Linked DNA regions of Rhinolophus ferrumequinum. The protein of the gene in region 2 binds, or shares a complex with, the protein of the main gene of each other region. Links are inferred from orthologs where the notes say so. Each region holds a gene or a part of one and is shown on either strand. Other genes may lie near its edges. The genes, in order: S100A1 and CAPZA2.

What was found.
Region 1: the proteins of CAPZA2 (region 2) and S100A1 are in contact, whole or in part, in an NMR structure (PDB 2KBM), measured with the Rattus norvegicus proteins. The link is inferred for Rhinolophus ferrumequinum from reciprocal best matches to the Homo sapiens genes CAPZA2 and S100A1. Residues at the interface, in NP_001009180.1 of Rattus norvegicus: Thr267, Lys268, Ile269, Asp270, Trp271, Asn272, Lys273, Ile274, Leu275, Ser276; in NP_001007637.1 of Rattus norvegicus: Ser44, Phe45, Leu46, Asp47, Lys50, Asp51, Ala54, Lys57, Ile58, Glu61, Leu78, Ala81, Leu82, Thr83, Ala85, Cys86.

The regions. Positions count from the first base shown.
Region 1 is NC_046305.1:52,554,296-52,569,981, reverse strand, and holds S100A1 (protein S100-A1), read right to left. Parts: upstream 8,608-15,686; 5' UTR 8,458-8,607; intron 6,493-8,457; exon of another isoform or gene 6,482-6,492; 5' UTR 6,470-6,481; coding exon 6,329-6,469; intron 5,336-6,328; coding exon 5,192-5,335; 3' UTR 5,011-5,191; downstream 1-5,010. Other genes in the region: CHTOP (chromatin target of PRMT1 protein), read right to left, coding at 1,262-1,415, 2,748-2,812; S100A13 (protein S100-A13), read left to right, coding at 10,973-11,002, 11,158-11,340. UniProt on the Homo sapiens protein: Small calcium binding protein that plays important roles in several biological processes such as Ca(2+) homeostasis, chondrocyte biology and cardiomyocyte regulation.
Region 2 is NC_046309.1:26,068,141-26,084,595, forward strand, and holds the start of CAPZA2 (F-actin-capping protein subunit alpha-2), read right to left. Parts: upstream 8,102-16,455; 5' UTR 7,997-8,101; coding exon 7,958-7,996; intron 1-7,957. UniProt on the Homo sapiens protein: F-actin-capping proteins bind in a Ca(2+)-independent manner to the fast growing ends of actin filaments (barbed end) thereby blocking the exchange of subunits at these ends.

The DNA.
Region 1 (15,686 bases), on a different chromosome or scaffold from region 2:
TCTAACACTGACAGGAAGCTTAAGGATGCCCACTATACCATCCAGTTTCCTCTCTAGAGCTACGCTGTATCTGCTAGTGGCCAGCCACTAGCCACACGTGGCTCTTCAAATGACAAGTTAAAAATAAAGAAGAGTTCCGTTACACTGGCCAGGTTTTGAGTGATCTCAAGTCCCATGTGGCCAGTGGCTAACATATTAGAGAGCACAGATACAGAACCCTTCCACCATTGTAGCAGGTTACACTGGATGGCGCTGCTCTGCAAGCTACTTTTTGCACAGCACGTATTTAAAGCTTCTTGTTGAAATGAAACGTCCTTTGGAATGATTTCTCAGACATCTTCAGCAATTTCTTATATTTACTTTTGGAAAATGGCGGTGCCTTTCACTGCTTTCCTAACTCAGGGACAAATGCAGTCACTCAAAGGCTTAAGGAAGCTGAAGCAGAAGACGGTGTTTATTTTTGGTCAGTGAGCCCAGTGGTTCAGGGTGGGGGTGGGGTTATATTTAACTGCTGAATTGATGCACAGCCATGCAGTGCTACCAGGTCAAGTCCTTACAGTTGCATGGCACCGCCCTCCAGACGCCCAGCCACAGCGTGGACATATCCTTCCACAGCCACTGTCCGGACTTGCATATAAAGTCTATGAATAATAAAGAGCAGGTTTTATTTCAGGTCTGAATAGAATTCTCTCTTAACGGAAATTTGAAAGAGAACCCACTAACTCTTCAATTAATTACTCAGTGCTCTTGCTCTACTTTACTGACAAAACTTGAGGTGCTGTGGAGATGAGGGTCACCTTACTTATTTTAGCATTGAAAACCACTGATAAGGCCATTCATTCAGACTCCCTAGACTAGGGGACAAAGAATAAAATTAATTCTCTAATTTGTAAGTCATTTAACAGGGAATAAAGGATTTTTTTTTTTTTGAAGATCATTTAAAACAGAAACCAGAATTTCTTTGTGGAAAGAGCCAGCGAATTTACTTTATGGGCGAAGGATCAGAAAAACAAGAGATTAACACTCATTGATAACATAGAAACAGGCCACACTGATGGCAAACCCCCTAAAAGAGAAAGACAACAAAAAGTTACTCATTGGTACCTGCCAAATGGGAGTTCTCTGAACTTCTCTCCCCCAGAGAAGTTTCAGCTTTTGCCCTGAGCCACCTTGGAACCATCCATCAGGTCCTGACAGGCTCAGGGAACTGCCTGCCAGAGATCACCAGCTGCTTCTGGAGTGGTATGACCCATCCTCTCACCTGCTTAAGTTTTAATGCTGCCTGGACAGAGGGTCTATTCTCCATCTGCTGGGCCAGTCTTCTGTTTCTGGCACTGGCTAGCTGCTGCTGTTGCTGCATCGAAGCCCGAATATTCACTGGCATCGGCTGTTTGTTCTTCAGCATATTAGTAAAGCTTCAAGGTCGAACAAAATGGATGTTTAAATAAAAGCTTTATTACAAAACATTTATTGGCATTTTCATGGCTTGCTAGACCAGGAGCTCCAGATCCCACGAACTTTTAAGTAAAGTGGTACTTAGATCAAGGCTGATGTGGGTTAAAGACTCCTCTGCTTCCACAAACTTGCAAGAATCAGAAACTGAGAACTGCAGCTAAGTGCAGCACATTCAATCAAGTGATAACGAGGGCTCAGGTGACGGCTGGGAGAGGTGGAAGGTATGAAAAACACGCAATAAGCAGATATGATGACAACATGAGACACAAGATGGAGTTTCAAAGACAAACGAAGAAAGCCAAAACCCTGGGAGACCTGAGGGTGCATTTTAAGGGCCAATACACAGGCCAGGAGCACCTCGGAAGCCCACGGGAATACGGCGCTCGTAAATCGCATGAGCACACCACATTCTCCTGTTTGTTCACTCGGTAACATGTGAACGTGCAGAATTAGTGTATCATTCCCCAGGAGAGAAGGCCAAGCACATATGCTTCAGAAAAGGAAAACATAAACATTTAAGTAAATCTTTTTGTGGTCGAATATCAACTTAACACATCACTGGTCAAAGGCACTCAACAAACAAAGCTCTCAGAGACAGAAGCTGCCTTTTAATACCTTCATTTTCTTAGTCTCAAACGATTACTTTTTCTAATTTCAAGTGTTTACTTCTGAAAAGTTAGATTTGGTCAATTGTTTAAGAGCTCGTGAAGACACTCTTCTATTATTCCTGTAAGGGTAAGTTTAATGGCATGGAAGAGAAAACACTTAACTGTAAAAGAATCCAAAACAAAACAAACTCAAAGCAGAATGCAAAGAAGGTGAAATGGAGCAAAAGCAAGTGCCTCTTACAAGACCCAAGAATGGCGTTCAAGGGCCTTTGGACATATTCACGGCTTGCTACCTGCCTCTTACAGGCCAGACACAACACTGCTGGCCTTGGACGGGGCAGCAAGCTGGCTGCAGGCTGCAGCCTGGGTACCGTGCTACTGAGCTGCACCATCCCTGTGTCAACGTTAAAAATGTGAAGAAAAGGGAGGGTGTGAGGAGTCTTTTTAAAATACATCCCACCAGACAAATATTTCAGACAGCTTAATATAAAAATCTACTGATAAGGGGTTTTGAAACAACCGCCCAATTTGCTTTGTGTACCACATAAGATGCAACTAAGAACAGAGGTCTGTAGCCTTCTGTTGGTATTTAGTTTAAAAACCGGCTTTTGTGCATTGGACCCCAGGGCCAATTTAAGTAATGTTTTCTTATGAACGAGCTGAAGTTGCTGTTGGCTGCCTCACCGCTCATTTAGAGACATCTTGGTGGTGCTTTTTAGCACAACTTTCGGCGCTGACGGTGCAGCCATCTTCAAATCCCGGTAATCTACAAAGGACAATAGGCAGAATGAGCACATCGCAATACCAACGACCTCACTTCTGCAAAGGCCAAAGGCCCAAAGCAACAGCGCCTGAAAAAGGCCTGTATCAACAGCTATTTAAGAGCACACTCCAACGCCTTCCAGGGGCTTAAATTTGTAAACGACCTCAAACCACCACCCTCAAAGACTCCACAGGACAGCAAGTATCAGCCAAAGCCTCCAAAATGGCAGACCTAGCTAAAGGAAGTGGAAGAGTTTGGCTCTTCATCTCGCGTGGTCCTTCTCAACCTTGGCTGCAAGGAGCTTTTAGAAACATTTAGAATCCTGGGCCCAAACCAATTGAACCACAATCTCTAGTGGTGAGGTCTGTGGGTCACAAATTGGAAGCGGAAAAAAAAAGGCTACCTACGTGCTTCTCCTGTGCAGCCAAAATCGGGAACCATTGATCTAGAGAAACGATAACGGGCATACCTAATATCAAAATCAAGTAGGGGCCTTAGCAAGGGGCTGGGGACCTGCCAGAGGGCGCAGGGAAGGTTTCCTAATTGGGCATTCACCCGGGACTTAGCTCCCAGAGAGCGCGCTACAAGATTTAACCCTGAAGCCGCCGCTCCTTTCCCACGATCCCCCAAGTCCTGCGTTTCTCCTTTTTTCCTCTCCCCACCAGCTCAAAGCCCTGGCAAGACGGCCAACTTTGCTCAACCGGCCAAACCGTTTTGCTTCTCAGCGCTACCAAACCCCAACCTTTCTTTTCCAGCGATCCCGCCACGAGGTTCCAGCTCAGGCCCGCCCCCGCGTGCCTCCCCGCGGCTCCGCCCCCTCCCCGGGGCCTCCCCACGCCAGCACCCCACCTGCTCCCACCTCCCACCCGGTTCGCGTCCGCCGGCCCCTTCCGCTCCGCTCCGCTCCCCGAGACCTTCCCCTCCTTCTCACCGCAGCGACGTACCGCAGGAAAAGGACGCCAGTGCTCCTCCCGGGGCTGCCACCACGGCTGCGGCAGGCGGGCCGGGGGCCGGCCGAACCTGAGTTGACGGCGGAGGGGCTCGGGTTCGCTTGGTGGGCGGTTGGTTAGATGCGTAAGCGGTAGGTTGCTAGGTTAGTTCGTTATTGTCGGCCGGCTGTCTGCTCGGTGGTCCGCCTGCGCGCCCGGCCTGCCCTGCCCTGCCTTCCGGCTGTGCCACCGCAAGCCGCTGCCGCCAACTCCCGCTCCGAGTCCAAACAAAATGGCCGCCACGCCCAGTGCGGAGTGGGCCCGGCTAAAATGGCGTCGACGCAATTACGTCAGGCGACAGGCCCACGCACAGCTAGTGGGCGGGGAGATTTGGGTTACGCCTGCGCGGGGGTCGGGGAGGAGCCTTAGGGAGAAGGCGGGGCTTTAGCCGTCGCCCCTTCCAGAGCCCGCGGTGCTCTGCCCACGAAGGGGCGTGGCCAACGGCCGCGCAGTGGGGTCCTGCGGGGCTTTACGTTCCAGACGCGGTTGCCGGTAACCTTGAGGGCCGCTCCGAGCGCGTTCGGTGCGGAGGCAACACATGCTCGTGTTTCCTCGCGCGCCTGCCCGACCCCCAGTCTAAGGCAGACCGTCCAAAATGTTCTACCTGGGACTTGTTAAAGCCTTATTTGGTGACAACCTTTGCGTGCCTGTTGCCCCTCCCACGTTGTCCCTCCCCCTCTGCCATCCATGTGGATGTTGATGAAGACATACATGGGACTTTTCTAATGCTTGCGTACACAATAAAAGGCGAAAATGGCTGAAGAATGAATGAACGAATACATCATCAGCCCTTCCTCCACCCCGTGCGCCCCCATCAGGGTTCTTTCGTTTCCCCTCCAGTATGTGCGCGTGTTTAATGGTCTGGCGTCCTCACGGGACGTGAGGACAAGGGTCTGTTTGGTTTGTTCACCGTTGTATCCCCGGTGCCTACTCCATATCTGGCACATGGCAGATCCTCGAAATAGGCTTTGAAGGTTGAAGGGAAATTCTTTGTCTGGCTTTGCAGCTGCGGAGCTAATGTCTCCTGCACTTGCAGCTGGTATCTTGAACCCCTGCCTTCCCGGGCCTTGAATATTCCTCCAGTAGGAAGATGTAATGGTCCTTTGACCTCTCTCCAAATAAGAGCCAACCCCGAATAAGGCAGATGGGGAGGGATCACACCCCCGTTCCGGAGCCCAAAGGAAGGACAACAGACTGGCGAGAGAGGAGCCTTTAATGAAAGAGTTGCAGGCCTGGCCCACGACTCTTGCGCCCTTGTTGGAGGGTAGGCAAGGGTGGGACTGTGGGGAGCGGGGCGCGGGGTGAGGGGGAAGCAGAGTACACGGGCAGGGGTGGCAGGGTAGAGGGGAAGGGCGCTGCCCACTGGGGCTGTCTGCTCAGCTGTTCTCCCAGAAGAAGTTGTTACAGGCCACCGTGAGGGCAGCCACCAGCACCACGTACTCCTGGAAGTCGACCTCCCCGTCTCCGTTCTCATCCAGCTCCTTCATCACCTTATCCACCGCATCTGCATCCTTCTGGGCCTGTGAAGGGAGATGGACGGGGAGGTGTATGGAGATGGATGGCGCCCAGTTAGAGCCAAGGGGGGGGTGATTGATTGGGGAGCAGGAGGCAGAGCTGAGCAAGAGGGAGTGCTACATCTAATTAGGGGACTCTTCTGCTGCCTTCCTCGAAACTGACAAACACTGCGGCCTCCTGCTGCCTATACAGTAAGCCCCTCAACGAGGCAGAGTTAGAAACACCCATTTATCATATGTTGAGCGCCTACAATGGACAAGCGCTACACTAGGAGCTTTATAAGCACTGTCTCGTTTAATTCTAACACAAATAGCATGAAGTAGGTTGCATTATTCCCGTTCTAGAGAAGAAACAAAGAGACAGTTGGTGGTTAAATAATGTGTCCAAAGTCACACAGCTAGAGTGAGCGTGGCTGCGCCCAAGCTTGAGCCCAGGTCTAATAAAACCTCAGAAGCTGAAGGCTTCTCCTTCAGCCTGTTTTTCTGCATCCTTCCCTGCAGTCGAAACTACTGAGTGTGCTCCATACTCTTCTTTCTGCCGTGCTTTTATTCACGCAAACGCCTCCACCCAAAATGTCTACTTTCATCCTAAGCATCTTCCATTGGAAACCTATGGCTCAAGTGTCGCCTCTGTGGAGAAGCCATCCCACTTCAGTCAGGTTAATGTTCTCCCAGAATCCTTCCTGGCACCTCTGTTAAGGCTCTGTGTGCTTCCTGGTGTCCAAAATTTACTTTCAAGGGTCAATCTTCCCTTTCCAGACTGTGAGCCTTGTTATGGCTGTATCTACGCAGGTCCTGGTCCTTGACAGATGATCACTAACTCGGGGCATTTTGGCTTGAACCAGGAGTAGGGGAGCCTGGAAAAACCCAGGAGAGAAGCCTGGGACGGGAAGGAGATGGTTGGGCTGAGCTGGGGTGAGCTGGGGAAAGGGCAGGGAGGGGCCCCCGGTGCCCCCCAGCCCTTGCCCGCTCCACCCAATCCCCCCACCCTGTACTCACATCCAGGAAGCCGGAGAGCTCCGTCTGCAGCAGCTCTTTCAGCTCCTTCTTGCTCAGCTTATACTTGTCCCCTTCCTTGCCCGAGTGGGTGTGGAACACGTTGATGAGAGTTTCCATCGCCGTCTCCAGCTCAGACCCCATCTCGAAGCTCACCTATGCACCCCCCACCATGGAAGTGAGCAGGGGACCATGCTCAGGATATCTGGGGTTGGGGTGAAGGGAGCCCTCAGGCCTGGTCCTGGTCCCACAGCCCAAATAGCCATGAGATTGGAGCTCCATCACAATGTACCTCTCAGTGGGACCCTAAAATGTAGGGGAACCCAAACAGATCTAAGTCCAGACCTGTTCTGTGTGTCCCTCCATCCAAACCCCCGCCAGAGGGAGTCAGAGTTTGGGGCATGGAGGGGGAACAGCTGGAGCAGGGCTGGCTCTAGAGGCCTGCGTGGACCCTGCAGTGTCTCCTGGCTGGCTGCACAGATACTGACGAGGGTGTGGCAGGCAGGCAGGCAGGCAGGGGTGGTCACAGGACCCAGCCAGGCTTCCTCTGGCTCTATTTTTACCCTGAACCTTGCCTGCCTAGCATAGCCAAGCTCTGCGGTTGGAGGTGGTGGGCTGGGCTCCTGTCTACAGACTTGACTCTGTTGCCCACTCCTGGCAAGGAGTCAGTCTGGTGCCCTTGGTCAGCCTGATGGAGAGGGTGGCAGCCTGAGTGGGCGGCCCAAGGGTCGTGGGAAGGAAGTCTCATTGCCTCTGAGCTTCCTGTCAGCAGATGGGGCATCTTTTGGTCCCTCAACTCTGTTCTCTCCTGAGCATGGCACTTCCCGGGGGTATGTCTCTAGCTTGGTTCCTCTTACTTTTCCACAGAGTTAGCCCTTCCATGGGGTGGTGGTGGGAAGGGACAGGAATGTCTGAGACTTTTCCCTGGAGCCAGAGCTTCTAGGGAGGGGAAGAGGAGACCCATGAGGACTTGTCACTGCTAGTAGCTACTCCCACCCTCCAGGCCCAGTCTGGTTGGAGTGGGGACAGTGGCAGCAGGGAGAACGGGGTTGGTATGTATTGGGGGAGATAAAGGGCCGAGTGCATTAGGTCCTCTGAGTTCAAGGGGCTGGGAGACAGGGGGAGAAAAATGGAGGGGTCTGTTGAGGAGAGGGGACTGCCAAGCCAGGGGGCCTCTTTCTCTCTGTCTTGGGACATTCAGCCCGACCACGGCCTCAGGGGGCAGCTCAGGTGTCTTAGATCAGGTGTCCCCATCCTTCCCTAGGCCTGAGGGGCTGGACAATGGGCCCTGATCAGATGACATCCCAGCTCTTCAATGGGGCCCTTGTGAGTGTCACCTGAACTCCGGACATGAGACGTGGTTGTCACAGAGACATGGGGGAGATGGAACCCAAGCCGGGGCTGATGGAGGGGATAAGGGGCCTGAGAGGGAGGGGCCTGGTGGCTCAGTTACCGGCCCCATCCAGGACGGGCACCTGGGGGTTGCCTGGAGCTCGCCAGCAGCCAAGCATTTCATGTGGGGGCAATCCTGAGAGGACCTCGGCAGGGAGGGGGCGGGTGGGAAAACAAAGAGGAAAGAAAGAGGAAAAGAGGAGTCTGGAGGTCTGGGCCAAGAAAGGGGAGGAGGAGAAAGGGAGAGTTGGGAGTGGGTACCACACCCGAGTGCCCCTCTTCCTGATGTCACATGGCCCATGCTCTACCAGACGTCCCTGGGCCCTGAGCTCTTGGCAAGGCTGGGTGGGGGAGGCAGAGCAGCTGCTCCATTTGTCCTCTCCAGCTTATCCCACCGGAAGTGAGCCAAGCGCTGGGACCCCTCCCCAGCTCCTGGGAGATTGAGGGAGGCTTGAGAGGGCACTGGAGGGCTTCGTGGTAGGAGAGCCTGATCTGGAAGCTTGGTGGCTGGGCTCCTCATTGGCTTCCTCATTCTCTGAGTTTCTAGATCTCTCTTTGACCTTCACTTGTCTCCCCTCACCACTTTCTAAACCCTGTCTCCCCCAAATCCCATACTGCTGTCACTCGAACTCATCCCAACCCTCAGTATACCACAATGCCATCGTCCCCAGATTCTTGGAGCCCCGCTGAAGTCCCTTTTCCCCCAGGCTGGCCAGGGCAGGATGGGGTGGCATACTCACTGTCAGCCTGGGCCTGAGGTGGGAGCAGGTTCTGGACAGACAGACGAGGCTGCAAATGTGGCTCCCAGAGCTGTGTGTGGAGACCTGTCTTCAGCCGTCCTTCCCCCGCTGACCCCCCTCCCCACTGGCTCCACCCCTTCACAGATAGACACCCAGTGGGGCAAGGGGCCAGGAGTGGACAGAGGCGCCCTCTGTCTCCTGGGCTGGAACAAGCTGCCCTGTGTCCTCTTCTCCAGCCTCGGTTGCCTCCCCCCTACTGCTGGGCCCCAACAGGCAGGCCCTGGAGGAAGGGAGGTGGGAAAGGTCCTGGGAAGGGCACTGAGACACCCCTTACCCCCGCAGTACCCGGTTGTGGCCAGCTAGGCAGGGAGGGCTGGAGGCCGCTGGGAGCTCTCCGTGAATAATTCGATCTTGGGAGTCACCCTCCGAAGTTTCAGTGTGAGACCCCACTGAGGGATTTCAATCCAGGGTACCCTCGATGGGGAGGTAGATAAAAAAGGGGCCACAGACTGAACCCGACACGCTCAGGGGAGGCTGCATGGCAGGCTGTACAAACTCAGAGACAGGGAGTAACCACACAGGATGGTCGGAACATCAAAATTCCTAACTAAAAGCTTGTCATGGCAGGTAGTCCCATCCTAGGCCTGTAGCTTTCTTGATAGAGGTTAATCTTTACCTTAAGGGAGCCTGACTATTTCCTTTTTGTATCTAAGATAACATAGTTACTGACATTACTTTAAAATGTCAGAGTAATCTCCTTTTCCATACCCCCAGGGCACAACCTCCTACAGAGAGCACAGACCATAGAACCCTTCACTGTTACCTTGTCCTTCCCACACACACACACACATGCCATCTCCATGTGCTGTAAATGTTACTAACTATCCTGCACCCACAATGTGAAAGAACTGTGTGTCTCTCCCTTTTACTTTTTATCCAATCCCAGAGGTCCCCGCCCCCTTTGCCTTCTCCCGGCTCCCTAATCTACTGCCCATGGATTCCATGTAACCCCCTCCGTCTCCTCCTTGGATTCTAATGTATGAAATCAGCTGCAAAAAAGCCATTCTCGGGAACATTTTCTCAATCCGTTGAGATTTTGCCTCCTCCAGGTGATTGTCATCAGTTTGGTTCAGTTAAACTCATAAAAATGCTCTACAGGTTTGGAAATTTCTATGTCAACAGGGGTCTCGGTCTGATTCCCGTATTTGCGGGGTCTTGGTTTGGGATCCTCTGAAGGGGTCTTGGGCTTCAGGGTCCTTTGAGAGATCTCGTTCAGCGATGTGGTGTTTCTTAGCTTGGGCTTCTCAGTCCTGAGTGAGCTCCTGCAGTTGGTTCTTTCAATCAATCTGCAGTCACCTCCCGCAGGGCCCCCCTCCCCCCCACCCCCGCTCCCCCACCCCCGCTCCCAACATACACACTCCTGATTACATGTTGGGGTGTGGTGGGGCAGAGGCTCCCCATATTGGGGGGGATAGGACCCTCGGCCCTGGCTGAGTGGAATCTGGCAGCTTCAGGCAGATCCCCACCCTCACCTCCCGACCAAGTGGGGGCACCTGTGGGCTGGGCTGAGGGGCTGGGGTCCCAGGCGGGTTTCTGGGCGCTGGGAGCTGGGCGGGAGGGGGGCGCCAGGCGTGATTGGACGTCTCCTCCCTCCACAATCAACCAGGAAACTTGAAACCTCCGAGCTTGGGAGGGGCCCTGGCCTCTCCGCCCAGCGCTTATAAACCTCAGCCCCGCGGCAACCTCGTGTTGCACCCCGTCTCTGTGACTTCCCCTGGTGAGTCGTGTCCCCCTAATTCTGGGGGGAACCCGGGGAGCCCTTTTCCTCCCTGGACTCCCAGGTCCCGCCCCTGGAGCCAGCTCAGACTGGGATTCAGAAAGTAGCTTGGGGAGATCAGACCGCAGTCCCCGGGGGAGTAAGGTGGGGGTGTGGTGGGGGGAGGCAGAAAACGGAGGATGAGTTGGCATGTCCCTTTCCTCCAGCCTGTCCCCTGGGGCTGTGTGTGCCGGGACCAAGCCCTTTCTGGGTGCCGAGTGCCGGCTGTCAGCAAGGCCCAACCAGGACCCCTGGCTCGGGGAGACAGGGGCGGGAGGTCTGCAGGATCCTGGGCTCAGCACCGGCCCTGCGGGGAGGGAAGCGGAGAAGGACCACCGGGAGGCTGGATCTGTCAGACAGAGCCAGCCTTGACCACGGCTGGGCCTTTGCCAGACCAGGGCTGCTCTCCTGGGAGGAGCAGGCGGGTGGAGACCCAGGTCCCCACACAAACAAGCTTTGGAGACAAACAACCTCCTGACCTTTTGAGGCTCGGTGAGATTCCAAGCAAGGGCCCTGTGGCTGAACCCTACAGAGGGGCCAGGAGACTGAGAGGCTTCCTAACGGGACCCTCAGATTGAAAACCTCCTCCCGGACAGAGGGGTCTCCAGACTGAGGGACCATCACAGAGGGGTCCCTAAGACATAGGCATTTCAAAAGGACCCCTAGATTGTGAGATCTAGAGAGGAAGGGGTTTCTGGAATGAACACTCCTTCCGTCACCTGCACTGAGGTACTCCCTGCCCCAAGCTTCATCCCTGTCCGCTTGTTCCTTCTCCATAAAGCCTCTGCCTTCTCCAGGCAGAAGCCAGAGATAGCAACCCAGGGCAGGGGCACTCTGGCCTGTCCTGAGTCTCCCTTTCTCTCCTCCCCTCTCCCTCCCACCAGTCAGCCCGTGAGGACATCAGCTCCACCCTAATGGCAGCAGAGCCACTGACTGAGCTGGAGACGGCCATCGAGACAGTGGTCACCACCTTCTTCACCTTTGCAGGACGGGAGGGCCGTAAAGGCAGCCTCAGCATCAATGAGTTTAAGGAACTGGCCACTCAACAGTTGCCTCACCTGCTCAAGGTAGGTGGGGGCCTCTGGGCCCGAGATTTTAGGAGACAGTGGCTGTGGGACATTGTGTACGTGACGTGATATTGCTGGGCACGATAATGTGACCACAGATGTGTTGTGGAGAAAGGTGTGGGTGGCTGCATGTGTAAGTGGTTCTGGGCGTTCTTGCCAAGTGTGTGTGTGTGCGTCTCGGTAACAGTGTCCGTGTGAGGGGAAGTGTTATGGGGCTTTGTGCTGCATCAGATAATGCTGCAGGGTTCCTGTGTCTGCGCTGTGCCTCTCTGATCTCATTTGCCTCACAGAGGACTGGACCCAGAGCTGGCTTCCCGGACCGTCAGAGCTAGACGGAGGCCGAGAGAAAACATATCCACATTCCTCATTTCACACATAAGGAAACTGAGGCCCCGCTGTGGGAAGGGATTTGTTAAAAATAAAAACAGAGCCACATTTATGGAGTCAGGATCTCAGGGTGGGAGGGACCTGTAAGTGATCCGTGGTTACTTCCCACCCTCTCTGGGAATCCCCTCAATGCGCCTGGCTGGGTCCCCCCGTCTCTCCTCAGGGGACGGAGTAGGGATTTAAATTTTATCCACTTTGGGTTGGGCATCATCCCAGGCGGCTAACAGTTTCTTTTACATCCTTCCTGAAAATTCACAGGCACATAAAAGTGTGTGAAGATGGGTTTAAAAACAAAAAACAAGTGTCTCTGAAACTCACAGTTTTTTTTTTTTTTTTTGAAACTCATAGTCTTTCATCAGCAAAATCCCCTCCTCCTTAGGCTTCCCTGACTTTTCCCATCCTCTCCTCACAGGAAACGCCAGGCTCTCTCCTGGAGGTACAGCACTCCCAGTAGCCTTGCCAAATAGTGACTGGTTTTGAATAATATTGAATGTCAACTATAATTAAACATATATATGTATGTATAGTCACGGGATGTGGGGTACAGCAGAGGGAATAGTCGATGGAATTGTAACAGCTGTATACGATGGCAGACAGATAGTAAATTGGGGGGTTATCACTTTGTAAGGGGTGCAAATGTCTAACTATTTCATTGTTTTGTACACCTGAAACTAATAGTAATATTAAAATATAGTGGCTGGTTTATCTTCCTCTGTGTGTTGAAATGCAGGAAGTGACCTCTGCGTTTCAGTGCTGCTTCCGGATCTTAGTTTTTTTCTTCTTCCTAAGATGCCCAGCTCCTTGGAAGCTCAGGTACCACCTGCCTTCCTTATAGCTCTTCAGTTCCTGGCTAACTGTTTTCCTTCTCATCACTGCTGCTGTCATTATCCTCAGCATTCCACAGAGACAGCTCAGCCAACACCTGGGCCTTTCAATTTCTTGAGCTCATCACTTCCAAAGATTGTCGCCCTGCATCTCAGGATTCCACTCCTCTGCTCATGCTTCAGATCTTGGTATTACCAAAATAACGCACCTCTTCCAAGATCTCAATTTCTAACTTCCTTTTCTCTGTCTTCCATGTCATTCCAGTTCTGTTCCTCTGTAGGGGAGTGAAAAGGTAAAAATGAATTTTCCTCCTACCTTTCTAAGTTCAGGCTGGAATAATAATCAAATTGACGAGAGACGGATTGACAGGAGAAAATACCCACACTTATTAAGTATGTACACACAGGGGTTCCATAAGAAGATGGGTCCCAAGGACACTGGGCGGTTGAGGCTTACATACCATTCTGGAGCTAAGGCGAAGGTGGTGGGAGTGGTTTGGAACCTAAAAGGGCAGGAAGGCCGTTCCCACAGAGATGGAAGAGCAAATGAATGTCTGCTGGGCCAGCTTTCACATGGGACACAGAGGGGACTTTTACCCAATGGGCCTTGCTCATTTTTTCGCTATCACACACTAGTTCATATTAAGCTATGGTTATCTGTGATGACAGCTCCCTTCCTGAAGCAGGTCCTCTGTCTAAATTCTTCTAGGCAGGTAGAGGGAAGGCCAAAGGTTTTTCCTGAGTCTCGTTTCTTGAAAATAACCAGCTTAGAGTACTCAATATCCATCCCAAAAGGCATATTTTGGGGTGCCAACTCTGCTTCCCTCACCTGTTTCTAGCTCCTCCACTCCAGCATTTTCTTGACTCCCTATTATTTTTTCCATCTTCTATCTTTATGTCTTGTGTTCTCATTTCACCTCTTACTTACCTGGGTTCTAAGGCTCATCATTCATTATAACCACTCCCACAACTCCCTTGATTCTGTTTCTTTCTGTCCTTGTCTTTTGGCACAATCCCAACCCAGCTTAAAGCCAACATTTCACCTCCAGTAACTTGTTGGTTGAATGCACCATTCTGTACCTCCACTTCTAGAGCTGAATCTGGCTGGAGAATAAGGCACCGCCGTGTTCATTTGTCGCACTTTAAATCTATAATCACAAACCCCTCAGCGATGTCTGCCAATTCTACATTTCCCTGGTCGATTCATTTACCAGCTCTTTCAGATGATTATTTCACAACTTTTCCTTTCTCCTCAAACTCTAGTACCTCTTTCCACATCCCTCTCACTGAGAAGGAAGTAAGAGTAATCAGGAAGCTTCTATGTGCTCCTTCACCCAGATCCACCAACACATACCCTGCCTTTCATCCCTGTCTGCTCCCAAGGCCATACCCTTCACTGGTGCCCTGGATCTCATCCCTTCTCACCTACTTAAAGACTTTAACCCTTTTAGTTCTTCCCCCCTCTCTTGCATCATCAAAATTTCCCTTTGTACTGGATTGTTCTGGTCAGTTTCCAAATATGCTGTAATATCTCCCATCTTTAAAAAAAAAAACAAGGAGAAAAAGAAAAGAAAAAAAAAGAAAAACTCCCTTGACCCTGTAACTCCCTCCAGCTATGCCTTATATCTCTGCTTCCCTTTTGTAGCAAAACTTCTCAAAAGCATAGGAGTTATTTATACTGACTGTCTCCACTTTTCCTCTCCGGGTCCAGAATGCTCACCCCTGCCCCTCGTCTAGGTATTTGCTAGGCTTATTCCTCATGTAACTCAACTTTTTGCTCAAATGGCAAATCCTTTGCATGGCCTTCACTACTGAATACAAATATCACCTCCCTGTGCTCTATTCCTTTACCTTACTTTATTTTCTTTCAGAACACCTCAATCACAACTTGACCTCCACTATATACGTATATGTTACCAAGAATGTAACTCCTGTGAGGAAAGGAGTCTGATCACTCTTTTACCTCTACTTAGAGCAGTGTCTGACTCCTAATAGGTGCTCAATAAAATATTGAAGAGTGAGTGAGAGAGTAAAAAAGTTTTAAGAAAAGCATAAATTGTTGAGTGAGAGAATGAATAAATAAATGCATTTTGCCTACTGTTCTATAAATAGTTTTTTAAAAATGTAACAGTTGTTGGGAGGGGAAAATTTCCCATTTCCCTCTCTTAGTTCTTTTGGTTGTTCTAATAATCACATTGACATGAGACAGATTAACAGGAGAAAAATGACCAGATTTAGTTACGTATGTACATACGGGGGGTTCCATAAGATTATGGGGCCCAAGGACAAATCGGGCAGTAAAGCTCAGGTGCCATCTTGAGCTGAAGAGAAAGTGGGGGTTGCAGTTTGGGACTTCAGTGGGAAGGAAAGCAGTTAACATGGAGCTAGAAAAGTAAATGTTTGGTAAATAAATGTTTGCTGGGCCATCTCTAACCATGGGACACAGAGGAATTTTACCCAATGGGCCTTGCTTGGTTCCTCCCTGTCTACCACACACTAATTCATATTAAACTATAGTTATCTATGATGACAGCTCCCTTCCTGGAGCAGGACCTCCATCTAAAATCTTTGAGGCATGTAGGGGAATAGTCAAAGGTTTTTCCTCGGTCTTTTGTTTCTTAAAAATAACCAGCTTAAAATAATCAATATCCCTAAAAAGGCACATTTTGAGGTGGCCGACTCTGCTCCCCCTTACAGAGCATATAGGATATTTTCCCATTAAAAAAAAAAAATGAAGCACTGTATTCCAAGATAGGTTAACACACATTTATGTAGCCTACCCTCTATTGACGGAGTTTTCTCTTATGCCCATTTTCCCCCTTTTGCAAACATCCTTGTTTACATATCTTTACAAACTTGAGGGAAGCTATCTACATAGGTTAAATGCCTGAGAGATGAAATACTGCCTCAAAAGGCGTGTATATTTTTAATTTTATAAATGTTACTAATTTGCCTCCCAACAGGGTTGTACCACATTTTATGGCCACCAACAGTGCATGTGAATATCTGTTTTCCCACGTCCTTGCCCAAACTGGGTCTTATCAAGCTTTTAATTCTTGCCAATCTAATATGTTAAAATGATACTTTTTCTGAGTTATGCTAGTTCTTAGTGAAATAGAGCATATATATATATAT
Region 2 (16,455 bases):
ATTTATCTTACATTTTCTATTTCTTTCTCTGATCTGAATCATTCCCCTCAGCTCACAAACACTCCTAAACTTTTTCCATCTTAAAAAAATATATCCCTGAAATGAAATAGCAGTAAAAAATGAAGTTATAATACCCAGTCTTTCTCTTTTGCTTCATCCCCATTTTTTTCAATAATAAGTTACACTTTCCGTCTCCGTTTCTTATCTTTTCATCAACATTTATTGCGCACCACAGTGCAGTGAGACTCAACCCTTGCAGCACATTCACGCCATCCAGGAAGCTGTTTTTTTTTTAATTAAACAAAGAAGTAGAGAGGCTTTAGGCCTCTCCCACGAGCGAAACCTGTGCACCGTGTTTGTTTATAAACTCTCCACTTGACTCTAAGGCGCATCTAGAGCGGAAAACCACTGATCTAATATACACCAGGCATGACTGGAATTTCAAAGATGAATAAAACACAGGACCTGGCCCTGAAGAACACAGGAAATAAAAACATCAGGTAAACCTATTACGGTTGGTAAATGTTATAGCAAAGGTACGTACAAACTGCTGAGGGAGCAGAGACAGGCCAGGATATAAAAGATGAGGAGGAAGTCTTAGCGCCTGGTTATTGAAGGATGAGTGGTTTACAATGCAGACAAGAGGGAAAGAACATTTCCAGAAGAGGGAAAACATATACACACTTTCTAGACCCTGGTAATGTGGCTTTTCTTTCTGCTCCCTGCTCCAAACTCTAGAAAAACTGCTCTCTTAATGACCACCCATGATTTCTAGTGCACCATTTAGATAGTTGGCCTCATCTATATCAGTTTTCCAATCTGTAAAATGGAGATAATAACAAGGTTACTCTGACAATTGAAGAGATTATAGTATAGTAGATACTGGATATACAGTAGTAGATATAATTTCTCATCCCATTCTCTTAAATTCAAAGGCTTTTCTCAGTCCTATATTCTGTCTTAATCTCTACAACACTGATCTGCTCCTTCTGGAAATTCTCTTCAAGTCCCATGACATAAGAACCTACTCTGTGCTAGGTACTCACTTCTGCTTCAGGGGTAATTCCTCATCCTCTTCTCCTATTCTTTAAATGAAAGTATATCCAAAAGCATATGCTCTCTGCCCTCTCTTCTTTGCACATCTAAACTTTCTCCTAAAAAGCTTATCCCTTCTCGTGGCTTTAACCTGCAAAGAGAGGATTTCCAAATCTGCATAAAATCTCTGGGCCTGAGCTCTTTCCCAAGCTCCATTCCTACATTTCCATATGTGCCAGGCTGTTCACATAGACATTCTGCTAGGATCTCAAACTCAATATAACCCGAATCAAATTCACCATTACTTCTACCAACTGTGCACCCTTTCCTGTGTTCTCTAGTTGGTGGTACCACTTCCCAGTCATCGAGATTCCCACATTCAGTTACCTCTGGTTCCTCCCTTACCCCTACGTTTACTACCAAGTCCTGTCAACTCCAACTCTGAAATCTATTAGCAATCGTTTCTTCCTGTCTTGTGAAACTACTTTAATTTGAGTTCTAGCACTTAACCCAGGTTCCCAACTGCTCTTACTGGCTTCAATCTGGCCAGACCTGTGGTTTTCAATTAGGAGCGAATCTGTTCCGCAGGAGATATTTTTGGTCAGAAGGACTGCGGGGGGCATCATGTGGACCAAGGATGCTATTAAACATCCTACAACGCACAGGACAGCCCCTACAACAAGGAGTTATCCTTCCCAAAATGTCAACAACGCTGAGGCTGAGAACCCGTGTTTAGCAGGGGTTAATCTCTGCATTTCTTACTAGCAAAGTACCCCCTGCTTCTTCCCACTTTCCTGATTTTCCTTCCTGTGGTGTGCTTTCTGATATGACCTTATACACCACTGAAGTCTATCCTCCTAGGCAGAAGTAATTTTTCTGTCTTCTGAATTTCCATGAAGTTACTACTTTTTGATCCTGTACAGTATGTATAAATGTTATATACGTCTGATTCATCTGTGACTCTATGTATATATCTACCAAAGAGGTGATCAAATCACAAACTTTCAGTGAGTCTAAAACGTCAACTATGGTGCTATTACTTCTATTCACAAATACAATTCTCTTTCCCTTTCCTGACCTTTCTGAAATCAGGTTTTTAGATATAACTTGCTTTCGTTAATTGAAATCTGAGCAGAAGTGCGGTGATTGTGTGTGATTGTGTGTGTGTGTGTGTGTGTGTGTATGGGGAGCCGGGAGCTTTAAAACCAGCGTGCTATTCACTGCATTTCCTTCCCACTGCTATGGGGGCTGTAGAAAACGGGCTAAGTTCAGACTGAAGTCCTCCAACAGCCTGAAACTACATGACTTCTGCTGCTGGCCCACACTAGACATATACGGAATGAGTGACGAGATGTCCTACAAAGCCCCCACCACTCTCATGCTAAGATTTTAGGTTGTTTTTTAATGCATTATATGTTTGCTTACCCTGATTCATAATCAACGTAAGATGCATAATTTTAGGTAACCCTGAAAAAAGGAAAACTGGTACCAATGAAATATCATAAGCCACTGATTGTATAATGCAGTCTGATGTCAAAGATCTTAAACGATGGGAAATTATGAGCATTGAAATCAATGAAATATGGTATATTGATAAATAAATGAATGTGGACACAGTTTTCAAACATTATTTCCATTCATTGTCAACAGAAACTAAATAGAACTAAAATATCCAAGAAGTTCGCAACCATTAGATTCATAATGGAACATGTAAATAAATGCAGTAAGTGAAAGAATGTAGAAATTGTACATCCAATCTTAAAATAAAACTTGTGAAATTCTCCTTTTTTGACAACTGTAGGTGTTTCTATGGAGCCCCTATTTTCTTTGACATGCATGAATCTCTTACAATAAATTACTGCTTCAGGCAATTAGGCTTTTGGGTCAGAGCACAAAACTTTAAGTCAATTTTTCCCATCATGCTTTTCACCTAAAAATCACTTTGTACTCTGCTCTAAGTGTTCTTATATCCTGTGTTATTACACTAAAATGCAATGCTTTATGTGTATAGCTGTCCTTATTTTACGCAGAAATGGCTCCCAAATGCACTGAAAACACCACAAATTCGCTTTAATGTGCAAAGTCTGAAATCCCCACTAATGTTATAGCAGCTATCAAGTTTCTGCTTGCTGTAGGAATTTTTACACTTTATTGGTGCAATGATGGAATTCATTCACCTACAGAATATAACTAGGAATGAACATTTTCTACATTTATAGCTCACTGTTTGAGTTTACTTTTTGGTTAATAAGAACACTACTGAGTTTACATTAATTATGATGGAAAATAACAGCCTACATTGTTTTTACATACAATCAAAATTGCTGAAGCCAAATTATGGTTGTGTAGTGAGGGAAAAGCGTATAAACGGCTATAAAGAATATTCAGCATGTGGACATGATTTGCACCATATCCAGTATCATCACCTGTAACCCAGAGAGCACCAGGAGTTCCATCTGACTGTTTGAATCTTTAAAATCTATAGCGCTATTTAGAAATTAAAAAATTTAGGCACAACAAATTTATCCTGCAAAATTTGGCTTTATATGCTACTTCTACTTTTCATAAAACTCTAATGTTTTCTCTGTAATTTTCTGAATTCATGATTCCTTGTTCATTCTTTCACTGAACCATTCTACCCATCATGTGCAGCATGACAGATGCTATAGACATTATTTCTGCACTTAGGAACCCCAACTGAATGGGGGGAAATGACAAGTAACTATTATTGAAAACTGTATTTAATACCAGTACTATGTTATAGCATTCAGAAGAGATTAAACTAGCCATGCGATCTGAGCTAACCCTTGAGATGAGCATGACTTTCATCTTTCAAAAAAGGGGACAGACCAGGAGCAGTATCAACAGTCAAAGTGGTTAAGTCATGAGCAGAGTAAAATAACTACCACTTACTGTGTGTTTACTACATGCCAGGCACCATTTATACTTATAGCAACTCAATGGAGAAGATACTTCCTGTTATATCCCCAGTATATCATAGGAAACTAAGGCTGAGAAATTAAATAATTTACCCGAGGTGCTAGACATGGACTAACAAGCAAGTCTCTGAATTCACAGCATGATTAAATAAATAACAGTATATACTGGAAATGCTGGAACTATTTAGGTTATAATGGAATATAAGGCCATGAACACCATTTTCAGGAGTTGGGCTTCATTGTAAAGGCAATGGAGGATCCAGCAACTAAAAGTTTGAGAACAGAAAAACATATTAAAACATGGCTTAGATACAGGAAATTAGAAGGATGAGTCTAGAAAGTCTATAATAAAAGCCTAGCGGTGGCAAAAATAACAGAAGGGAAAGACTAGATATGAGAAAATCTTCTAACCCTACTTTTCCTCGAGGCCTTGTCTTTATTTCTTCCTCAACAAAACTGTTCGTACAGTAAAATTTTATTACTAAACAACAGTAGTTAATAATACAAATAACAGTTAATAGTTGTGTTAACTGAGAGGTAAGAAACCAATTATTAATATAAACGAATTAACTTTTCAAGCAAGAAATAAATTATTTGCATAAGATACATTTTGATGATGGAAGTGACAAGGTTTAGAATCTGCAAGGTACAGAGCACAAGGAAAAAAAAGTTAGAATAAAGCTGAAGTTAAAAACTTGGATGACTGGAACAATGGGAACAGATATAAAGAGAAAGATGAGCTGGAGGAGATAGATTTCTGCCCCTCTTTGTGTAGAGGGAAGGAGAGGGGAATTTATGAATTTAGTTTTAGGCAAGTTCCATTTGAAGATACCTCATTGTGACAGGACTAGCAGAAAAAAATGTGTGACCAGTGCTCAGGAAAGAAGTTAGGGCTGAACTATGTACTTGAGACACACCAACAAAGATAACAGCCGAGGCTATGGGATGGATTACTTTAATCACCGGGGGGAAGGTGGGAGGATTTACAGAAAAAAAAAAAAGATCCCTTCTAACCAACAATTGTCTTCTTCTGGAGCTTGGAGTGACTTCCTAGATTTTTCTCCCCTAGAGAGGGGTTTGGGAGTGGTTCTTCTCCAGCCTTATGCCACAATATCATATAATTTCAAATTCACAAAAATGCTTTACTGTAAGATACAGCTAACCCAGGAATGGAAAACGTGATTGTTTTTTGGCCCAGTTTCTCTGTAAAAGTCTGTGGGACACACTACAGCATAAGAGTAACTTAAAGAACATCATTGTTCTTCTTCGGATAACTTAATTCTTATTAACCCAGTGGCCAAAGGTAAAAAGATTATTAAATTCATAGTGATATCCTCAAAAAACAATTGCATATGACTTAAAAAAGCAAAGACATAATTCTAGATTAATTTCTAAAATGCTTCCTACCATAGGGCATATGTGAAACTATACCAGTAGTATATTTTTAAATGTATTGAACAATAATAAACTTTGTTCTAAAACCAAAACACAAATTTAGAACACAACACTATTTGATGTTTAGTATTTACAATTTTTTAATTAAAAACAGAAAGAACCATAGTTTGTCCTTTTTCGAAATAAGCTGTCAACAAATTAAAAACAGATTAACCCAGAAGAGGTCGTATTGGTCGTTTAAAGGAGCAAAATGTCACAAGAGCAACAACTTTGGATTCAGACAAACTCAGGTTTAAATATCACCTTTGCAACTTCCTACTTAGGTATCCTTGGGTGAATCTGAAACCTTATTTTACTCATCTGTGAAATGGTAATATAACCTACCTCAAATTAACAAATTTATAAAAATGAACGTATTGTCTAACTGAGCCAGATACATGCAAAGTATGGTACTACATAAATATTAACAGATTCATTTCCTTACATCTGCAATCAATAATGGAAATTCCAAGAGCTTAAAAGTCTTAAAAGCGTATTTTTGAAAATTACAATGTGGCAGAAAGAGCAACACAATTTAAATATTAGCTTAAAAATATCACCTTTAAATCCTCTGATTCCATACCAAACATCTTCCTCCCAAAAGATTACAAGAATATTTCTAAAGTGACAATATTAGAATTTAACTCAAAAGTTTAGTCAGTATTTTTCTTAGATTAGTAAATATAGCTATGAAATCTATATGCAAAATATCTATAGAATAGTGTTACAAAACTCAAAACAAAAACAAAAACGAATTCCTTCAAATTAGAATTTTCATTCATTTCCTCTTAGAACATTGCGCTGGGCAAGCTTAGAGAATTAGACACCCCCCCCCCTGTATGGAGCTTAGCGCACAGAGAGTGTGGCACAGAGAGTGTGGGGTAATACGGAGTGTTGTCACCTCATCACTATTTTAGGCCTTCCCAACACCTGGCTGGTCTGTATTAGCTTCCACACTGGGTACTCTCTTCATCGCGATTTCTAGCGACTTGAGCTACATCCAACCACTTAAGAACGGTGGAATAAAAACATGACAATCTTTTTAACAAACTTTTCAGCACTACTTAATTTTAAATGTGTGTGTGTGTACAAGAGCATACATTTTCAGTTATCAACATATAGTGATTTACCAATGATACACATGTGAAAACTGCACAGCAACTTTGTGTATACAGGGACCTCTCTGCCTACCGGGTCCCTGGGTTATGGAGAATCTTGTTGCGGTCCTCATTTTGTTGTTTTATTATAACTTTCACCAAAAAGCACAGAGAAAAAAGATTTCCAACAGTAAAGATGAGGCTGACCTCAGCACCGACATAAGGAGATGGAACATTACATTTCCGTGTTAGAACACAGGATGTAAAAACACTTGGAGTGAAGAGTTCGAACTGAAAAGTATCCTTAGGCTTGGATTAGGATTTCTTAAAACACCACGTCTGTGTTTCCTACATGGCTGTACTGCTTTGGAACTTAAAAAAAACCACAATGTTAAATTAAGAGTGGACACTTCAAAAACTGCAACAACCATCTTATTTATGTCAGTTACTTCTGAATTTGAGAAACCTCAAGGTCCTTTCCAGGAAATACTCAAAATCAGTAGGGTCCCCACCCCACCTCACTGGGGAACGGGGCCTCACAGTCGCCAAAGGAAACGGCAAATAAGAGAGAACTAGTTCAATGATCAGATTTCTTATGTTAAATGCCTGAGAACTTAAGTCGTTCATCTGGTTCCAAGGCTGCCGCATCATTTAAGATACAGTAAAAGGAGTTGCACAATCTCCCCTCTTCGACAGAATTCCTAGCAGGACGCAGAGGCGCCACCAAACCAGCCCCCGAGGGCTGCTGCCAGCCTGGGCAGGAAACTACTGGGGAGGGGTCTTCTGGTGAGCAACTCCCCGGCCTCCTAGGGAATACGGAAGCTGCAAAGCCTACAGCTAAAGACGAAATAAGAAAAGGAAAAAAAATCAGAGAGAGGCAGACTGCCACCGGGAAAGGAAAAAAAGCGTCGCGAACCAGGAAGGGAAGCATTTTGCTACTGGGCGGAGGGATTAGAAGGGAGAACTCGAGGTCTGCTTCCTAAGCGATTTTTGCCTCTTACCCTTCACCCCGGCTACACTATTCAGCCAGGCCGTCAGGCTGGGCAGTGCCCTTGGGAAGCTCGCAGGCCGGCCCGCAGACCCCTTTACAGCCCCCAACCTGGCGCAGGGGCCGCTGCCCAGGCCCAGGGCGAGGGTCCCCGCGCCGCTGCCCCGCGCGACCCCGCCCGCCTGCCCGGCCGTCGCGCCAGGCGCCGCCGCCCGGCTCCCGCTTCCTATTTTCAGAGCACACACCCTACAAGGAGTGGAGCGAGCAGGCCAGGCGGAGACCTGCCCCCGCGCGGGCCTCGGGTGACTGACAGGGGCAGGCACTTGGGCGCAGCGAGGAGAGGGGGGCAAAGGCAGCCGAGGGCACAGACCAATGCCCTTCGCCGGCGGCCAGCCTCCGGGCTTATACACCAGGGCCCCGCTGGCTCCCGGGCCGACCGGCTCCGCCGCCCCCGCAGCTCTTACCTTCTCCTCATCAGACAACTGCTCCTCCAAATCCGCCATTTTCCTTCTGGCGACAAACCGCGGCGGCGGCGGCAGCCACCTGACTTCCCCCTTTCTGTGCGGTCCTCCGCGCCGCGCGCGCCCCAGCCAGGGAGGGGCCAGGAGCCCAGCCCACCGCGCACGCGCCCAGGGAGCCCCGCCTCCTTTCCCCGGCCCGCGGGGCCGGAGTGCGGGGCGCGTGCGCAGAGCCTCGAGGGGCTCGGGAGAGGGAGGAGTCGCCAACCGCCGCCTGCTGCAAGCTTGTCAGCGTGCTGGGTGTGGGATTCTTTCCCACCAGTGACCATATGGACCCAGTCTGCAACAAGTACATCCTGAGCCCTTGATTATGTTCCCATTAAGGCCTGAACTCTGCCAGCTAAAATGTGAAAAGTGTACGAATAGAAGCTTTTTAAACATTTTGTTTTTTAAAAAAAATTGCTAGAAAAACACTTAGCTTTCCTTAAAATATGCAGACAACCCAGTCCATAATTGAAAGATTGCTCTTGATATATTCATTCATTCATTCATTCAAGAAACATTTATTGGTCCTTTATGGTGTGTCGGGTACTGTATTAGTCTCTATGCATATACACTTGCACAATGTTAAGCAAAAACCAGAGAAACCTGTTTTCAAACCTACTCTGAACAGTTAGGGAAGGCACCGTACTATTGCAGAGGAATACAAAGTTATGTTTTAGACATGGATCCTACTCTTGAGAATCGGGTTGCCAGATAAAATACAGAAAACCCAGTAAAATTTGAATTTCAGATAAACAATGAATATATATTTTAAGTATAAATATGTCCCATGAAGCATTTGAGATATATTAAAAAAATGTTTTCAAATTTTATTGGGCATCAGTATTTTTCTTTGCTAAATCTGGCAACCCTACTTCTGAAGCTTAAAGTTTAGCAAGAAAGTGATGATGTAGTCAAAGCTTAACTGGCTAGGAATCTTGTTAAGATGCACTTGCTGAGGCAGCGGGTGGAAGGTGGGCTGGAGAATCTGCATTCCTAACAAGCTCCCAGGTAATGCCAATGCTGTTGGCCTGGACACCATCCTGAGCAGCAAGACCTTAGAGTTTAGACAGGAGTTAAGACTAGCCATTATGTTCTATACCTAAAACGAATGCAATGTTCTTTGTCGATAAAAATATGTATTAAAAAGACTTTATTCAGTAGAAAGTTGACAACTTTTGCACAGTGATATAACATCATCAGAAATATGTCTAGAAAGATGAATCTGACAGCTACATATAAATGACACAAGAGAATACCTTAGAGAGTTCACATGCAAAACGCTATTAATAAGTAATTTACTAAGGGTTCATAATGTGCAAATCATTGTTTCTTGTGGATGGAAAGTGAACAGAAACCATGCTGTTGAAAAGATAGTCCATTTAGGGAGAGAACTAATGGGAAGCTTGCTGAAACATGCAGAAAAAAGCGGGTGTTCTATTGAGGATAAATGGTGCGGAGAATGAACCACACAGTTTGGTCAAGGACCTCACTGGATGTAAATCAACAGCATTTTTATTCTTTTACAGTTTACAAATCATTGCTTCATTGATTTCTCACTGCAAGTAAGTTATGAAGTAAGGTATTTAATCAGCATTATTATACCCATTTTACAGGAGACAAAACTAAGGTTCAATATTTATCCAATTTTGCACGGCACCAAAGTGCCTGAGTTAGGATTGGAACCCAGGCATCTTATTCTAGATCCCATGTTCTTTCCCTTTTGAGATCTTTTTTCTCTCTAAATTCCAGGTGCTCTCCATCAAATAAAACTTAATGAAAGCACTTATCTCCCATCCCACCGATTCTATTCACCATCACATACGGCATCAACAGTACTTCCTTTTTTCTTCTCCTTCTGCTTTTTGGTTTCCGTTTACTCAGCAACACCTAATATCAATAATTTGTATACAGAGGGTACTCAGAAACTGTTGTTGCGTGATTAATTGGCTGCCCTCTTCCTTTAAAAACAGCACTCAAATCTGGTAATGTTTTGCAATAATTTGAATCAGACTATGTTTGTAATCGTAGCCTTAGTGATACTTTACATGTGGTTTCCCATGTGACACAATCAGCAATTAGGTAAAATTTCTGATAATCCTTTCAAAAAAGTCCCAAAACCACTCTCCCAATACCACCCTTGGTCAGTCCCAATACCACCCTCTTGATATAGTTGCAAGGAATAACTGAAATCATGTAAAACTAGGAATTCTGGGAAGATTTCTAAGGCACCATGCAAAATAGGTATAAATATGGACTGACCATTACATGAATGCAAGTAGAAATGTGGTACTGGTATTCTTTTTTAAATTGGGGAACAGTGTGTTTTTCCAGGACCCATCAGCTCCATGTCAAGCCGTTGTTTTCAATCTAGTTGTGGAGGGCGAAGCTCACTGGCCCATGTGGGAATTGAACCTGCGACCTTCCTGTTATGAGCACTGTGTACCAACCACTGAATCAACCCGCTGCCCAGGTATTCTTGATATACAGTTATTTCATAACCAAAAGAAGCAAAATATTCCTCCCATACACAATTCTCCCTATTATGTGAGAATTTCTACTCCTTTCTCATTTAATTTCTAAACTCACCTTCTACTTAACTGCACCAGAACCTATTTTTTTTAAGTTTTTCCTTTTGCAGTGTTAGTTTTTAAGTTATTTGTATGCTTTTAAATCTACTTTCCTGTGGATGTGCTACATGTCCTCACTTATATTTTAAGCTTGTCAAGGTCAGAGGTTACCTAATTTCATAGAATTACAATCTTGCAGTCAATCTAGTGCAAGAGTCTCATTTGGCAGATAAGTTGAGCTTTAGATAAATTAAATGACTTGATAAAAATTGCACATCTACATGATGTTATTTGAGAACCAATGTCCTGATGGTCATGTTCATGTTCTATCCTTTATATGATATACTATACACACACATACATATAATATAACATATATATCTCAATCATATAATGTACAATGAGATGATATTCAAATTAGTGACTGACCACTAAATGGTTGTACCAAATGTAGACTTCATAATAATAACATATTATTTAATCTCTGTATTGAAAAACTAGTATCTGTAGTTTAAACCTGTGACTTACCTTACTTCTGAAGAAAACTACCAGTGTTAGACAACGAATATTTTGTTGTTTGTTACTGTTTCATTGTGGGGACAGAGCCAGGAGTGCAGTTTCCAGGCTCTTGGCCTCACATCTACAGTGGAAAGGTACTGGCTCAGAAGTAGTAAATGGCCATCAACTGTGATTGGAGGCCATCAGCTGTGGCTAGTTGGCCGTCAGCTGTAACCAGTGAGCCATTGGCCGCTAATATAACTGCTGTGGCTACGCTAGCAGAAAATGGGGGCTAGCAAGAAGATGGGGGCTGGCAAACGCGGATTGCAGTTAGCACATCGGAGTGTGGGTTGCAGATGGCAGAGGCGGATTGCAGTTAGCAGGTGAGGTTGGTTGGCAGAGACAAGTAGACGGCAGGTTGAGGATAGTGTGGCTCCTGCTTCTGTGTCTTCAACCCAGCCAGCAGTGAGACTATAGTGGTATGACTCCCCTACCTATGGCTCCGTGGGTGTTCCTTTTTGGCCTCACCATATCCTGCGTTCTTATGTGGGGAGCGGGACCAGAGACCCTGCATGACTCCCTACATGACATTCATGTTCAATGAACATAACGGGTCTCAAGTAATCTTCTTTATGGCAGTAGAAAAGTATCAGCAATCACGTATATTTAAAAAGTAGTTGTCTTTCTAAATCAAATAATTGCCTAAACTATTGGTTACTTGTAGTTAAGTGTGCCCTACCTGTAGTCCATTTCCTTAACTAGATTTGAAAAGGTCCACGCAAATGGTAGCCCTGGAAGCCTGACATGGATCACTCTAGAGCTACCAAGGAATTATTGAAGAAGCTTGTTTTCAATTCCTCCCCTCTCCTGAACATGCTGTCCTTCATAATTTGATTCTTCCCAACCTCAACAAACCCAGCTCTGCCGCAGCTCTGAATGCACACATTATGGAAGCACAAAAAGCTACTTACTCAGGCATCACAGTTTCTCGTGCCTCTGATGAAGCCCTATCTGAAACATTCTTTGCTACCTACCCTTTAAAATTCACTTCAGTTATCCCTTTTCCCATGAAATCTGCATTGAGTCCTCTAGCTGAAGCTAGTAATTTCTTCTTCTAGATTCCCATAGAAAGTTTTCCGTGGAATTTTGCTGTGTACTCAAATGGTGAGGTGTACAGATTTTATAATCAGGAAGTCCTGGATTCTGGTCTTGGTTCCAGCGCCAGTTAACTTGGACAACTTGCTCTGGACTCCTCGGTTTCTTCGTCTATGCACTGGAGATAATAATGATCCCTCCCTCATATGGCTGTTGTGTAGAATTAATGAGACATTTTAAGTACTTAGCATCCAGCCGTAGCAAAAGTCTCAATAAATGTTACTAGCTATTGTCGTATTATAATGTCGTACCAGTCTGCCCCTTCACAACATGGCTATGTCTTAATTAGCTGTTTGATAAATGCAGAGTCTGGCTCATAAGTGCTTACAAAAGTTTTGTGGGAATGCAGACTGATTGAATGACTTTTTCATTTTATGTCCCTAAATGGGAGCTGAAAAATTGAGCTAGCCACCTACCCACATGGGGTGTAGAGATTGCCCTAAAAATGTGGCTCTGGGTGTCCAGAACAGGAAAAGAAACACTTTCCCCAGAAAAACCCAAATCATAGTAATACTCCTATTCTACATTCAGTCACCCCTTATATATCTCTCTAATCGATTTCCTGCTCCTTAATTTCTGTCAAATGTAAGTTCAAGTCTTCAGCATTGTCATGCCATGTCCCAAATGAATTATAGGACGTGTTGAATGCCCATGGGGAGTGCCCAAGGTGTATGCCTTTAGAGTGAGGCAAGGAAATTCTAAACCTTCTACGTATTTCCATTAACTTATCTGAACTATTATTACATCATATATCAGATACACAAAACAAAAACAAATAAACAAAATAAACTTGCTTTACCCGTTCTAGCTCCCATTCCCTTTCCATCTTCCCACAGGTAACCACTAACCTGAATCATTCCCATCCATATTGATTTTTTCCCAACACAAAATTGTTTGTTTTTCATCTTTTTTATCCATTTAATATGGTACCTCATTCAAAAAGTATTTATGGAATGAATTATTATGATTTCTTGTAAAAAGTCTGGAAAATAACATGAATAAAGAATATTAGAGTATTTTCTCACTTTAAAAAGTCTCCCTACATGAGTGAAAAGATAAATTCAACATCTTTAAATTTTTTTTAACCTTAGTGTCTGGTAATACTTTGAATTCTTATTTGGATTCAGTATTAGCAGTATAGTAGAAAAAGAAGTTTGTCATTTATGTTTTCCCCAGCCATACCAACCTACAATAATATTGTGTTTCTCTAACTCAGGTCTAATCTAACGAATTGCAAGAGATCCTGCCCCAATTCCTTCCTCTGGATTCTTTGGGGGTGCCACAGTGATTCACCTGCACGTGTTTACACTGCCATCTTTTGTCCTTTTATAAAGGCTTTCAGCACCTCTGCTGCTCCCTCTCTCATCAGACCTCTCCCAGGTTTGTCGCTTTAACATCTTTCCTGATGCTCCCTTCACGGGACAGATGGCTCAGTGCTCACATCACCTCACCTTCTTCTTCTGTGACTTTAGCTCCATCCATTGCATGTAGGTGCTGGGCAATGCCTGGCCATTGTCCCAGCCTGGGTGGTGGGGTACTCAACTTCTGTTTTCTCCTGTGAGCGGCTTCTGATGAACAGAGCTGTAGCAGATACTGTGAATGCTCTGACCAGATCCCTTGGATCACTGGGACCCTTTCTGTGCTTCAGGGCTTTTTGCCTCCACTTCAGAGAACCTACAATTATTTGGGGAAGGACTGACTGCTCTTGGCTACTGAGGTGGCTTTGTCAGCAAGCACAGAGCTGGGAGTTTAGGTCCCGTGGAATAGCTCTTAACCAAGGCTGCTGGGGTACACAACCTCAGCCAGCTAGCCTCAGGTCAGAACAACTCTGAGATGTAATGTACATTCCAGATTTCCCCAGAGGGAGAAGGCCAATCTCAACTTGCCTTTTCCCCCTTTTCTGGGAGTGACTGAGGCATGAAAAGTTACCAGTGTAGGAGCACGAGAACAGCCATAGAACAGAAGGTGGGTTTTGCACATGAGTGCATTCTGGTGCTTCAGACTGGGGGTCAGGGGGCCAGCAATCAAACTGGGAGAACCCCGCTAGGGTTGAAGGAGCCTTTAGGATAAGCCTCAGAATGTTGATTTGGAGGGACGTTAATCTACTCTTCCTTCAGTAGGACTAGCCAGGGCAATGGTGTGGGGGCTAATTTGGCAGGTGTCGTTATATGTGGAGGTGAATAGAGAGAGCAAAGCCAGGGATGTACCCAGATTGTACTTGACACTGTGCAAAGCAGACATGGAAGACAGAGAATTTCAGACTACAGGACACCACCTGTGTCCTAAGGTAACTCACATTCTGGTTGTGCAAGGCTAGAATTCAATACATAAAAAGGTACCCCTCCAAGCAGTATATGATAAGTACAAAATAAATGGCACAAACGAGAAATGCGTTCTCTATACATATGAGATAGGATGTGTCAAAAGTTCAGAAATAATAGAAGTAAAACCAATGAATTACTGAAGTAGTAATTAATACAAGTTTATTGTACACACATCAAAAAGACAGTTTGCAAACAGGGGGCTCTCAAACCAAATATGGGATGAGGCTCAGGGCTGTATTGTTATAAAGTAGCTCATATAGTGAGAAAGCAGTGACTGTTTATTCTTCACAGAGACTGGTTAGAATATTAGAAGTTTCTTAAATGATATCAATTTGTGGAAACATTTCAAGTTTTGCTTATGATTTCCAGAAGCATAATAAGTAAGTAAGAAATGACCCAGGCCAAATTAGCTTTTCAAAATAAGCTAAATTGAGCTTTGTTTGTATGACTTAACTGATTTTGTCTGCTCAGGGAATTTTCAAGTTTGCTTTCCACTTCTTTTTTATTTTAACAGATGTAAATCATATTGAAACAATGGATGAAACGAAGAAATAGATTTTAAAATTGTATTCCTCTTATGTATTCCTTAACCTGCTATGCTGCCTATCTCATGACTGAAGTGTGAATTTAAAGCATATTACAATGTTAAATTATTTTTTTATTTTTAATCTTAATACTTCCAAAGAAAATCTAGATTCTAAAGATAAGTGTACATGTGATGGCTTCTTTGAGTTCATATACTAACCGCTTTTTAGATGAATTGGATTATTTTAGGAAACAGTTTCCTAATTTCATAATTTTAGCATAGTAGGACAAAGTAAGAGATTAATGCAGGACATATTATAACGGACTGTTTTGAATGGCATTGAGGAAAGGGATGTCTACATCTGGGGAAAGTAATTTCCTTTTGTAAGAAGACATCTTCGGTTTAACATTTCTGGATTTTACCTTTTGGGAGAATTAATTGTATGGTTTCTGCTAATTAGTGTAATCATTCCAAGCCTCAATTTCATCGTCCATTAAAAGGGGAACAATGGTAATATTTACCTATGTGTTTTGGGAGGATAAAATGATGCATAAATGTATAAAGTGTGTAACACTTTATATAAAAGCAGTGCCATTGAATTCTATTCATTCATCTTCACTGTGATGACTGTAATGAATATATCAAATATTTCCACGAATGTTTAACTTTTTATTTAAGTGAAACATTACAAAGATATTTCCTTCAGTTTGTTTTGACATTATCCTATCTTGCAATTGTGTGGATAAAAAAAGCCTTCTGAAACATAAGAGTGTCGATTTAGAATACACAAGCCTGTTTTTTTTCACTTAAAAAGTCCAATGATCTCTTAACCTTTTTGTCTAATTCAAAGATTTATTGTGAAGCTTGCATAAAGTAACATATGAAAGGTGCTTTCTAAAATAAAAAATGCTGGATGAATGCAAAACAGTATCTTTAAAGGAAATCATATTTTGTGACATCAGTAACCTCATTCATATTTCTTCTGGTTGTGTCTTTAATGTACTCAAGTCTGATAATCCATGAGCAGTTCTGCAAAAACATTTGTTGTGCTTCTGTTATGCTTTAGCTCTCTACGTATCATTTAAGATGTAGCAATTAACAAAACAGTCAGGGTCCCTGCCTTCATAGAGCTTATTATTTAGATTAGAAACATGCAGTAAACAAATAAGCACTCAAATAACAATGTAATTACAATTGTGAGAAGTGTAATGACAAAATGTGTAGCATGATTTGAGTGTACAGGTTAGGAGATAATTCTCAACGAGTCTTTCACATTTCTACACGTATTGCAAGCTGACTACCCTTTGTTCTGGACTATTTTTTTGAAGAGAGTTTGCCTAGCAAACAGCCTTGGCAGATAGTGCCTCTCTCCAGAGCAAAGCGTAGGCA